Callithrix jacchus: one gene and its partners. The protein of the gene in region 1 interacts with the protein of each later gene in a pairwise test. Links are inferred from orthologs where the notes say so. Each region holds a gene or a part of one and is shown in the gene's direction. Other genes may lie near its edges.

Region 1 (3,746 bases):
TGTCTCTGTCACCCAGGCTGGAATGCAGTGGCATGATCTTGGCTCACTGCAGCCTGAAATTCCTGGGCTCAAGCAGTGCTCCCTCCTCTGCCTCCCGAGTAGCTGGGAACATAGGCAAGGGCCACTGCTACACCTGGCTAACTGAACATTTGTCTTGCTCTGTGGCTGAGGCTTGTCTGTAATTCCTGGGGTCAAGCAATCCTCCCGCCTCTGCCCCAAAGTGTTGGGATCACAGGCGTGAGCCACTGCACCAGACCTGAAGTCTTCATTTTGTTCACTGATGTATTCCAGGCTCTAGAATAGTGTCTGACACATGTTTTGGGTCCCTAAATATTTTTTGAATGTATGATGAGTATCACACATACTATCTTTATAATTATAAACCTAATATACAAAACAACGGCCGGGGCCGGGGCCCTAGAACTTTGGGAGGCTGAGGTGGGTAGCCTGCTTGAGCTCAGAAGTTTGAGACCAGCCTGGGCAGCATCTTTTTCTTTTTTTTGAGAAAGGGTCTCACTCTGTCACCCAGACTGGAGTGCAATGGCAGGATCTTGGCTCACTGCAACCTCTGCCTCCTGGGTTCAAGACATTCTCTTGCCTCAGCCTCCTGAGTAGCTGGGATAACTGGAGGACACCACCATATCCAGCTAACTTTTACATTTTTAGTAGAGATGGGGTTTTACCATGTTGGCCAGGCTGGTCTTGAACTCCTGACCTCAAGTAATCCCAGAATTTTGGGAGGCTAAGGCGGGCAGATCACGAGGTCAAAGGATTGAGAGCATCTTGGCCAACATGGAGAAACCCCGTCTCTACTAAAAATACAAAAATTAGTTGGGCATGGTGGTCCGCGCCTTTTGTCCCAACTACAGGGGAGGCTGAGGCAGGAAAATCGCTTGAACCCAGGGGGCAGAGGTTGCAGTGAGCCGACATCGCGCCACTGCTGCAGAGCGAGACTCCGTCTCAAAAAAAAAAAAAGCGTAGTATACAAAATAAAGCTAGGAATATTCCCTGAATCCTCCTGCCTATGGAATGAAGTCCACAGACTTGGAAGAGCGTTGAAGCCCCTCTAAAGCCACTCCCTTCCTCCAGCCTCTCGGCCCGTAGCTCAGCACTAGCAGTTCACTCCCGGCGATACCTCCCGCCGCCACGAGGAGACGCCCCAGCACCGCCCTCTGTCAAAGCCCAAACAATATTGCCACGTGACCCGCTCCGCATCCACGTGACCAGCGTCGCACGCGGTGGGCGTCAGGTGACGGGCTCAGTAGTTCTCCAATCGCTGTGCACGTTGTGGGGTTTCCACTTAGGGCTCGGTCTGAGGCTTGTAACACCACATTCTCCCCCAAGCCACAGGGGCAGTCTTGCCGCTGGCAGCTGGGTGGCGGTGTCTCTCAAAGGTCCTCTATAGGGGCTTCGTGAGGCCCAAGCCTACAGCACTCAGTTCCGGAAGTGACGTCTCCCAGAGGGGCCGGAAGTGGCAGTGGAGGGAGGGAAGATGGCGGAGGTGGTGAGTCCGGTGCCTGGGGCGGGGCGGAGGGAGCCAGGGGAGGTGGGTAGAGCCCGAGGCCCCCCAGTAGCCGACCCTGGCGCCGCGCTGTCTCCCCAGGGGGAGATAATCGAGGGCTGCCGCCTACCCGTGCTGCGGCGGAACCAGGACAACGAAGATGAGTGGCGTGAGTGACGTCGGGGGGCGGGGCTAAGGAACCTGAGGGCGAGGGGCGGGAGGGAGTCCACTGAACCCCCGGGATGGGGAGGGGCCTCTGGAATTATGGGGCGGGCGGGGCTCAGACACTCCGATGAAGGGGCGTGGCTCTTAGCTGCTATGAGAGGTACAGGGCGGGGTCTGGAAAGGGGTGGCACTTGTGACTGAAGGAGGCTTGGATGAGACCTTCCAAGTGCTGCAGCTTAGGGATCCGGCCTGGGGGTGGAGTTCAGGTCGTGGAAGGGTGGAGTCTCATGGCCTGGCCCGTCTAAGGTCCCTGCCTATGCTGTTCCCATAGCACTGGCCGAGATCCTGAGTGTGAAGGACATCAGTGGCCGGAAGCTTTTCTACGTCCATTACATTGATTGTGAGTTCTGGGCCTAAGGTGGGGCAGCAGGGTAGGGGGTTGGGGGGCAGTCTTTGGCATTCCTTCCTGAGCCATCCCCACTGCTACAGTCAACAAACGTCTGGATGAATGGGTGACGCACGAGCGGCTGGACCTAAAGAAGATCCAGTTCCCCAAGAAAGAGGCCAAGACCCCCACCAAGAACGGACTTCCTGGGTCCCGTCCCGGCTCTCCAGAGAGAGAGGTGGTGAGTAGGTCCCCCACTTCACCTCATCTCTCCTGCCTCCTATTTCTCTTATCTGTTGGCATTTAGGGGCTCCTGGATGGGCAGGAGGCGGCATCCTCTTACCCTGACTTCAGCTTGCAAAAGATGGGGGCCAAATTGCACATGTAGCTCCCAGAGTCCAGTAGTTAGTCCTGTGTCCTTCAGAAGGCAGAGGGTGGGGTTTGATAATTTTAAGCTGAGGGGCCCCTCTTCCCCTTCCCCATCCCACTGCCATCCCCGCCCCAGAGGAAGACCCTGGACCTATCTCTACAGCCGGCCTCGGCCCAGGCCAGCGGGAAGACCTTGCCAATCCCGGTCCAGATCACACTCCGCTTCAACCTGCCCAAGGAGCGGGAGGCCATTCCCGGTGGCGAGCCTGACCAGCCGCTCTCCTCCAGCTCCTGCCTGCAGCCCAACCACCGCTCAACGGTACCCTCAGCAATTCCAGGGACCTTGCTTTCTTCTCAGGTCCCACCTTCTCTACCCTCTGACCCACCTTTGTTGGTTTCTCTCTGCAGAAACGGAAGGTGGAGGTGGTTTCACCAGCAACTCCAGTGCCCAGTGAGACAGCCCCAGCTTCGGTTTTTCCCCAGGTGAGTTCCCCAAACCATTTCTTGTTCCTTTCCTCTCTTCTGCCCTCTGGTGGCCCTTTTCAAGCTCATCTCACAGTCATCCCTTCTTTTCCTGGTATCTCATCTGCAGAATGGAGCAGCACGTAGGGCAGTGGCAGCCCAGCCAGGACGGAAGCGAAAATCAAATTGTCTGGGCACTGATGAGGTGGGTCTGGGGAGCAGCAGAAGGGAGCTGCGTGAAAAGGAAGGGATGCAGGCAGGGTGGAGAGTTATTTAGTGATGAGTATAAAAATGAAGGGGTGGTGGACCTGGGCAGGGCTAGTGTTGGTAGGATTAGGAGCCAGGCAGAACATGGTTCAAATGAATCATTGGGGCTGGGCACCATGGTGCACACCTGTAATCCCAGCACTTTGGGAGGCCAAGGTGGGTGGATCACCTGAGGTCAGGAGTTTGAGACCAGCCTGGCCAACATGGCAAAACCTCATCTCTACTAAAAATAAAAAAATTGGTTGGGCACAGTGGCTGACACCTGTAATCCCAGCTCTTTGAGAGGCCAAGGTGGGTGGGTCATGAGGTCAAGAGATTGAGACCACCCTGTCCAACATGGTAGTGAAACATGGTGAAACCCCATCTCTACTAAAAGTAAAAAATCAGCTGGGCCTGGTGGCGCACGCCTGTAATCCCAGCTACTTGGGAGGCCGAGGCAGGAGAAACGTTTGAACCCCGGAGGTGGAGGTTGCAGTGAGCTGAGATTACACCACTGGTACTCCAGCCTGGGAAAAAAGTGAGCCTTTGTCTCAAAAAAAAAAAAAAATTAGCCAGACATAGTGGCAGGCACCCGTAATCCCAGCTACTCCGGAGGCT
Region 2 (3,660 bases), on another chromosome or scaffold:
GCTCAGCTAATTTTTGTATTTTTTGTAGAGATGGGCTTTCACCATATTGTTCAGACTGGTCTCAAACTCCTGGGCTCAAGCGATCCTCCCACCTCAGCCTCCCAAAGTGCTAGGTTATGGGCGCGAGTCACCGCGCCTGGCCCGATTTCCCTTTTTGAATCTCACTTACTTTTCAGCCTCACCTTTGTTTTTCAAGGTGCTTACCGCCACCTGGCACAATCCACACTTTGTTTATGTCTCCCCATTAAAGTGCCAGGACCTGGAGGGGGGGTCTTGGCAGTATTTTTGAGAGCGGTGGTACCCTGGGCACACAAGGGGACGCTCAGCTAATATCCAGGGAATGATGAGCCCGTAGGGTCCTGAGGCCGACTGGAGAGGGGTTGGCCGCCGGGTTCTGGGAAGGCGGTGGTCGGCCGCTGTGTGACCGCAGGCTCCTTGCCCGCCTCCTGGAAGGTCCAGGGGGTGCAGGACCTGCTGCAGCCTCGGCAGCCACACCCACGCTCAGAGACCGCTTCCACCGTCCTCGCCGCGGAAACGCACCGGACGGCAAATGTCATCAGCGCAGCGGGGATTCCCGGGGAAAGTCCACCGCGCTCCCTGCCCTAGGAACCGGAGGATGAGCAGAGGAAGTGCCTCTGGCTGCAAACCTCCCACTCCCCGCGAGGGTCCGCTCCGCCCGCGGGAACTCCCCGAGACGTACGGGAGGTGCTGGAGCGCGTCCCCGGCTCCGGGCGGTCCCGAGCGCAGGGACTCCGGGCGGGGCGGGAACCTGCGCTCCGCGAGCCGCCGCGCCCCGGCGCTGTCATCCCGGGGCGGGGCCTTGTCCCCAGCTGTGGTCGCTTCCTAAGCGGCTAGGGCAGAGCCGGCGGCGCCCAGATGCGGCCGCGGCGGGGCGGAGCTCGGGCCGCAGTGAAGGAGCCCAGCCTCTGCCGCAGGGGACGCGGGAGGCGCCGGGAGCCGAGCCGCCGGGAGTCGCGCAACAGGTTTCCTTCCCCAACGCGGCGCCCACGGGGGACGAGCGCCCGGCCGGGATAGGGGCTTCTCGGTTCGAACTCTCGCTCCGGGTACTGGTTTGTTTTTCTGTCCCTGAGCTCCCCATTTCTCTACCTATTCCCGGTGCGCGGAGAGTGCGGGGAGGTGGGCGGGCCGGGGCGGGGACACTGTCTGGGCTCCGGATCCGCGGCGGTGCCTTAGTGGGTTTTGGTGCAGGGCCTCACGCCGCCTCTGGGCACCTTCGAGAACACAGCACTGGGTTTCTCATATAAAGCGGAATGATATTTTTTGAATTACTTTTAATTTCAGAGGCCAAGGGACTGAGAATTTAGCGCTTCATAGGAATTATTTTAGGGATACCCGTTGGTAGGCTGCCTTTATAAAGCGTCCACCTAAGACTACCTTTAAGTTGAAAGGCTGAAGTGTTTCTTTGTTATCACCTCTTCATTTCCTATTAGGGTGACTGTGTCAAAAACACCAGAATGGGTACCTCTTGACTTGAACTTGGCACTGTCACCCAGAAGCCGGGAGAGACGGAGAAATTGATAGAGCCTTGGAGCAGTCCCTTCAAAGCCCACATAAGACTTTGTTTTAGAAAAATGGAGAGGAAGGGTAGTGGCAATCCTGCGAGAACCACTCTGTCCAAGAGGGAATTCTGCCTTTTTCTAGACTCCTCTGACACCAGCTGAGCTCTGTATTACTTCCTGTGGTTCTCACGCACTTGTTTCAGCCGTTTCTCAGCAAAGGGAGGAGTTGTTATTTACGGGTATCCAAAAATGAGTCACACGGCTGCTCTCTTAATTGTGAGACTTTGTTAATGAACTTTTTGAAAAGCGAGGCTTGCTCTGTCTGTATTTAAAATGAGGCTCTAGATGTGAAATGCCTGCCCTGCTAACCTGGGGCAGTGGTATGGGTAGTGATGATTTGAGTTTTCAGTTTCCTAAGGCGCCTGATGTTACAACATGCCAGTAAAGGTCACTGGGCTGATCTAAGATAACCATTAAAATCATGTGCTTTGCCACAGAAGCCCAAGGGAAAATTAATTTCAGTATCTAGTGACCATTTTGTCCTCATTTTCACTGCATGGTAGAAATGTATCATTTAATGTGGTGACTGTAACTCTCTAAAATCAAAATATTTCTAACAATTTGTATTTACTAAATTGATGCTAAAACCACACGACGATTTTTGAAGTGGGTAGGTCCCAGCAGGAGCAGAGAAATTTAAAAGTTGAAACTCACAGGTCCCATTGTAGTGGGTAGCAGCGCTTAGGCAAGGTCTGCACAGGCTCTCAACATGATAGAAAAGGGAGCACCATCTCTACTGGAGCTGAGTTGAGCTGAGTTCAGCCCCAAACAACAGTTACCAGGCACCTTCTCTGTGCCAGCCTCTTCTCTGAACCTTGCTTGTGCAACTAGGAATAAAAGGATCCTGCTGACAAGCTGCTAGGGTAAATCTACACCCAGATGGATGTTTCTGTCCCAATATAACTCAGTAAGCTGGGTCCCAGTGTATTTAAAAATTAAACAGCCAGTTACTACCCCTAGATAATTACAGTCACCTTTAGTTCATAGTGTGACTTTTAGGAAATAGTGTGACTAAATAATAGTTTATTTAAATACACTGGAAAATCCATTATATATGTGCTAGGGTACATCTATGCCCAGAGTGAAGTTTCTGTCCCAATATGACTGATGTTTCTGCAGATCTGGGATTTGGAATGGACTGGGTCATGGCTGGAAAAGCGAGGAAGCTTTTGAGTTGACTCATTTACTTGTCTTTGTAGGCAGCCTATTCTTCATTTGATACATGATTTAAAAAATATGAATTAGAAAGGTATGGTTTTTAAAGCATTTGAATGAACCATATTTCATACTATTTAATAACCATGTGAAACTAAACTCAGCTGATTATCACCCCTGGACAATTGCAGTCACCTTTAGTTAACAGCATGACTTTTAGAAAATAGTATGACTAATTAATAGGTTGTTTTGTTTTGTTTTGTTTTGAGAGAGTCTCACTCTGTTGCCCAGGCTGGAGTGTAGTGGCGCAATCTTGGCTTGCTGGAATCTCCACCTCCCGCATTCAAGCAATTCTCGTCCTTCAGCCTCCCAAGTAGCTGGGACTACCAGCTCCCACCACAACAACCGGCTAGTTTTTGTATTTTTAGTAGAGTCAAGGTTTTGTCCTGTTGGCCCAGCTGGTCTCAAACTCCTGACTGCAGGTGAGCTGCTCACCTTGACCTCCCAAAGCGCTGAGATTGCAGGTGTGAGCCACCATGCCCTGCCTAATAGTTTATAAATTGATAACACTATATTGAGGCAAGTTTCTGATCATTGTTTTTGCAGTTCAAATCAATGTTTTTAGCACGTTATAGCCATATGAGCCCAAATGCATAAACATACTGTATCACAGTTTACTGTTGCAATTGAAATCTGCTGAGAGGCTTTTAGACTTGATGCCCAAGTATCAAGGTTTCCAAGTTTCCCCAGTTTGCTAAGATACCCAACTAGTAAAGGTAACAATGCTAAATTGGAGACAAATTGGCCTTAATTTCCAAACTTTCTTCCTCCTTTGAGACCCCTAAGGTTACTTTTTCTATGAGGAAGAAAGAGTGGAGTATATTATTCAGCATTGTACTCCCTGAATTTGGCCCAGGTTTGACTA
Region 3 (3,746 bases), about 51 Mb from region 1:
TGTCATTCATTGGAATGGATGGAGTCCAGTGTGGGATGTGTGTTGTTGTTGTGGGGTGTGTGTGTGTGTGTGTGTGTTGAAGAAGTTTCTTTTTCACCCCAGAGAAACTCCTTAGATGACTAATGAAGGGGGATGTAATAATGAATTCAAGCTAGATGGAGTGGCTGATGCCTGTAATCTCAGCACTTTGCAAGGCTGAGGTGGGAGGATTGCTTGAGCACACGAGTTCTGGACCAGTCTGGAGAACACAGTGAGACCCTATCTCTACTAAAAATGCAAAAAGCCAGGTGCAGTAGAGCGTGCCTATGGTCCAGGTACTCCAGGGGCTGAGGTGGGAGGATCACCTAAGCCCTGGAGGTTGGGACTTCATAAAGCCGTGATCCTGCCACTGTACTTCAGCCTGGGTGATAGAGCGAGACCCTGCCTTGAAAGAAAGAAAAATAAAGAACGAGCGAAGATTTGGACATCTTTAGTTTTAGGCACCTTAGAGGGGGTAGTATTTAGAGGCTTTCTGGATGGTAATGTAACCCCTCATTATCCTTGATGGCCTCTGGTTTACTGATCTGACCACTAGGATGTATTCTATTATCCAAGGAGGGTCTGTAGTAAATGTTGCACCCCACCATCTTTCTTTACATCTTTACACTCTTCATTCACACTCTCCCCTTCCCTGTGAATTTCCACAGGGGAGAAATGTATTCTTGACATTTTCCAGGCCTTGATGTCAGTTTTATGCTCAGCAGCAGGGGTAGTTCAGTGTCAAGAATCACTGAAGCTCCAGTCTGAATTTGTCGCTGTGACTGCGGGCAAGTCGCTTTACCTGTCTTAATCTTAGCATTAGCCTCTGAAAAATGAGGATAAAACTGGTGATTTTACAGGGCCGATGTGAAGATTAATGCGCATCAGCAGTTTAACACAGCCCGACCCGGTGTAAGTGGTCAATAAATAGGAGCTATTATTATCAGCAACGCTGTGTCCTCAGAGCCTCCCCATCAGGACGTCGGGGAGCAGTGCAGCAGGAGCGGAGCAGGCTGCCTCCCCGGAATCCCTCCGGACGCGGCCGCGGTCCCCGCACCGCCACCGCCACCGGGGCTCCAGCTTAGTCCGCGCGTCTGCCCGCGGGGGTGCGGGGCCAGGGCCCTACGGGGCGCGCAGGGTGAGTCTGTGGCATCGTAGTGGAGGACGGCGCCGCGCTAGGCAGGGGTCCCAGGGAAGCGGCTGCAGGGATCTCTGCTGGGAGGGCTGGACCGCGGGGCTCACGGAGGGCAGAGGGTCTCCTGCAGAGCGAGGCCCCCAGGAAGCTGCGGCAAGTACCGCGCCTGCCGAGCTCGCTCCCGCGCCCGCCCCAAGATGGCGCCCCTCCCCCTCCCTCTGCGCGCGCCTCCGCCGCTCGGGGCGCGGCCCCGCCGCCCGCGCGCTCCTGGGCGGGGGATGTTGTGATGGAGAAGCCGCGGCGAAGCCCGAACCCCGCAGCCTGAGCCACCTCCGTCATCTGGGCCCGGGGCCTCGCCGCGCAGGTAGGAGCTGTCCCTGCCCCGGCCCAGCCGGGGTGGCTGCGCCCCGATCCCCAGCGGCCGGTGGACCCTGACGCCTCTTCACCGCAGTAGCCGGGGTCTCCGGGCCGGGCCCCATCCCCCATCCCCGGGCCGCCCTCCCACCGCGCGCCTGTAGACCGTCCTCTCATACCCTCCATCGCATGGTCCCCTCGGGTCCTCACATCGCCCCCTACGCTGTCCTTTACCTCCTGCCCCTCGGGGTGACTAGGGGCGGGTATGGAGGACGCGAAGCGAGGGGCGGTGGGGGTTGGGGGAGGGGAGGCCCAGGGCCGGGAAGGGGACTTGGGGTGGGGTGGGCTGGCCGGACGCTGCTGCCGCCGATTCCAGCAGGGATCCCAGGCCAGATCTGTCAAGCGGCATTCTGTTGCCCTCAGCGACCGAGGGGTGTGCCCTGGGGCGGCTGTGTCCCCAGCTCAGCCAGGGCCTAGCACTGGCAGGAACACTCATTAGGAGCAGTTTTCCCACTGCCAATTCCTAACCTGTTTTGAGTCTGCCTGTGTATCTCTTGCATTCTGAGCCCCTCCCGCTATGGTCCTAGCTCTCGCCACCCTTCAGAGTCTACGCTTGCTGTCTTCATTTCCTTACTTCCCATTCATTCTTAAAATCACTCCACTCTGTGTCCCTGACACCCACTGAAACTGTCCATGGCAAGGTCACTGGAGATCTCCTGGTGGAGAACTCCAGTGGACACTTCGCTGTTATCTTCTTTACCTCTGAATAGTATTCCGTGGGGTCTGTTCTCTCTCCTTGAAGCATTTTCCTGCTTTCTGTCCTGCAGCATTGCCTGCTTTCTCAATCTCATTTGCTTCCTTCTCTCTTTAGATGCTGGCGAGGCTCTTGGCTCTGTCCCGAGCTGTCTTCTTTCATTCTCTGTTCTTTCTCCCCAGATACTTTATTCACTCCCAAAGCTTCAAATTTCATATATATGCTAATGAGTCCCAAATATATGTATCCAGCTCAGACGTCTTTCCTGAAATCCATACTTATATATCCAGCTGCCCTCTTGACATCTCCCTGAAAGACAAACAGGAATTCCAAACCTATAGATTCCAAGTTGAGTTATTGTCCCTGGTTTTCTCTGTACCCTACTTCCAAATCCCTTCTTCCTTCAAATCTCAGAAATGGCTATTTGCCAATCTGGAGTCATGAGCAAGACTCAAGATTAACCCCCTCTCACCTTCTGCATCTCATTTCACTAAGTTCTGTCACATCCACTCCCTAAATATTTCTCAAATCCATTCATTTCACTCTTTTCCCACTGCCACCCAAGTTAATCCCAGCCACCACCTTTTTTTTTCCTTGACTCCTTTAATAGCATACCCTCTTGCCTACCTTCCTTTAACTATTCTCAACACAGCACCCAGAGTGTTGCTTTAAAAAATGCTTCCGGCCGGGCGCGGTGGCTCAAGCCTCTAATCCCAGCACTTTGGGAGGCCGAGGCAGGTGGATCACAAGGTCAAGAGATCAAGACCATCCTGGTCAACATAGTGAAACCCCATCTCTACTAAACATACAAAAAATTAGCTGGGCATGGTGGTGCATGCCTGTAATCCCAGCTACTCAGGAGGCTGAGGCAGGAGAATTGCCTAAACCCAGGAGGCGGAGGTTGCGGTGAGCCAAGATCGCACCATCTCACTCCAGCCTGGGTAACAAGAGCAAAACTCTGTTTCAAAAAAAGAAAAGTGCTTCCAATCACTTATTCATTCAACACATATGATTTGAGCAGCGACTATATGCCAGGCACTGTGTTAGGTCCTGAAGATATAATTGTGAGCAAAAGAGTTGGGTCCTCGGAGCTGACAATCTAGGAGGAAAATCAAATAAGAATAACATTACAAATGTACTAGATACCATGAAGAAAAGCTGTATGGTGCCTTGAGAACATCAAGAGCAGCAGCTAAACTGGTTTTGGGGATAGGGAGAGAGGGTCAAGGATGGCTTCTCTGAGAACACGACTTTTGAACTAAAATAAAATGGATGAGTAGAAGTTAATTCAACTTAGAGAGTAGGAGAAGAGGTCCCAGGCAGCATGGAAATCATGTGCAAACACGTTGTAGAAAGAAACCACATAATGTCTTTGAGGAATCAGAAAGAAGGCCACTGAGGCTGCAGAGCAGAGTGACCAAAGCCAGGAGCAGGGACGAGGAAGGCAGGTGCCAGACTAAGCAGGAAATTTAGGCCACGTTAAGA

Evidence for each region.
Region 2: the proteins of KAT5 (region 1) and STX11 interact in binary tests that used the Homo sapiens proteins (3 or more experiments, as listed by UniProt). The two-hybrid records come from large-scale screens. The link is inferred for Callithrix jacchus from reciprocal best matches to the Homo sapiens genes KAT5 and STX11.
Region 3: the proteins of KAT5 (region 1) and APBB1 interact in binary tests that used the Homo sapiens proteins (3 or more experiments, as listed by UniProt). The link is inferred for Callithrix jacchus from reciprocal best matches to the Homo sapiens genes KAT5 and APBB1.

Annotation. Positions count from the first base shown.
Region 1 is NC_133511.1:122,803,420-122,807,165, forward strand, and holds the start of KAT5 (histone acetyltransferase KAT5), read left to right. Parts: upstream 1-1,473; 5' UTR 1,474-1,492; coding exon 1,493-1,670; intron 1,671-1,997; coding exon 1,998-2,066; intron 2,067-2,155; coding exon 2,156-2,292; intron 2,293-2,556; coding exon 2,557-2,739; intron 2,740-2,828; coding exon 2,829-2,903; intron 2,904-3,012; coding exon 3,013-3,087; intron 3,088-3,746. UniProt on the Homo sapiens protein: Catalytic subunit of the NuA4 histone acetyltransferase complex, a multiprotein complex involved in transcriptional activation of select genes principally by acetylation of nucleosomal histones H2A and H4.
Region 2 is NC_133505.1:150,902,760-150,906,419, forward strand, and holds the start of STX11 (syntaxin-11), read left to right. Parts: upstream 1-858; 5' UTR 859-1,064; intron 1,065-3,660. UniProt on the Homo sapiens protein: SNARE that acts to regulate protein transport between late endosomes and the trans-Golgi network.
Region 3 is NC_133511.1:72,104,936-72,108,681, reverse strand, and holds the start of APBB1 (amyloid beta precursor protein binding family B member 1), read left to right. Parts: upstream 1-1,408; 5' UTR 1,409-1,517; intron 1,518-3,746. UniProt on the Homo sapiens protein: Transcription coregulator that can have both coactivator and corepressor functions. Adapter protein that forms a transcriptionally active complex with the gamma-secretase-derived amyloid precursor protein (APP) intracellular domain.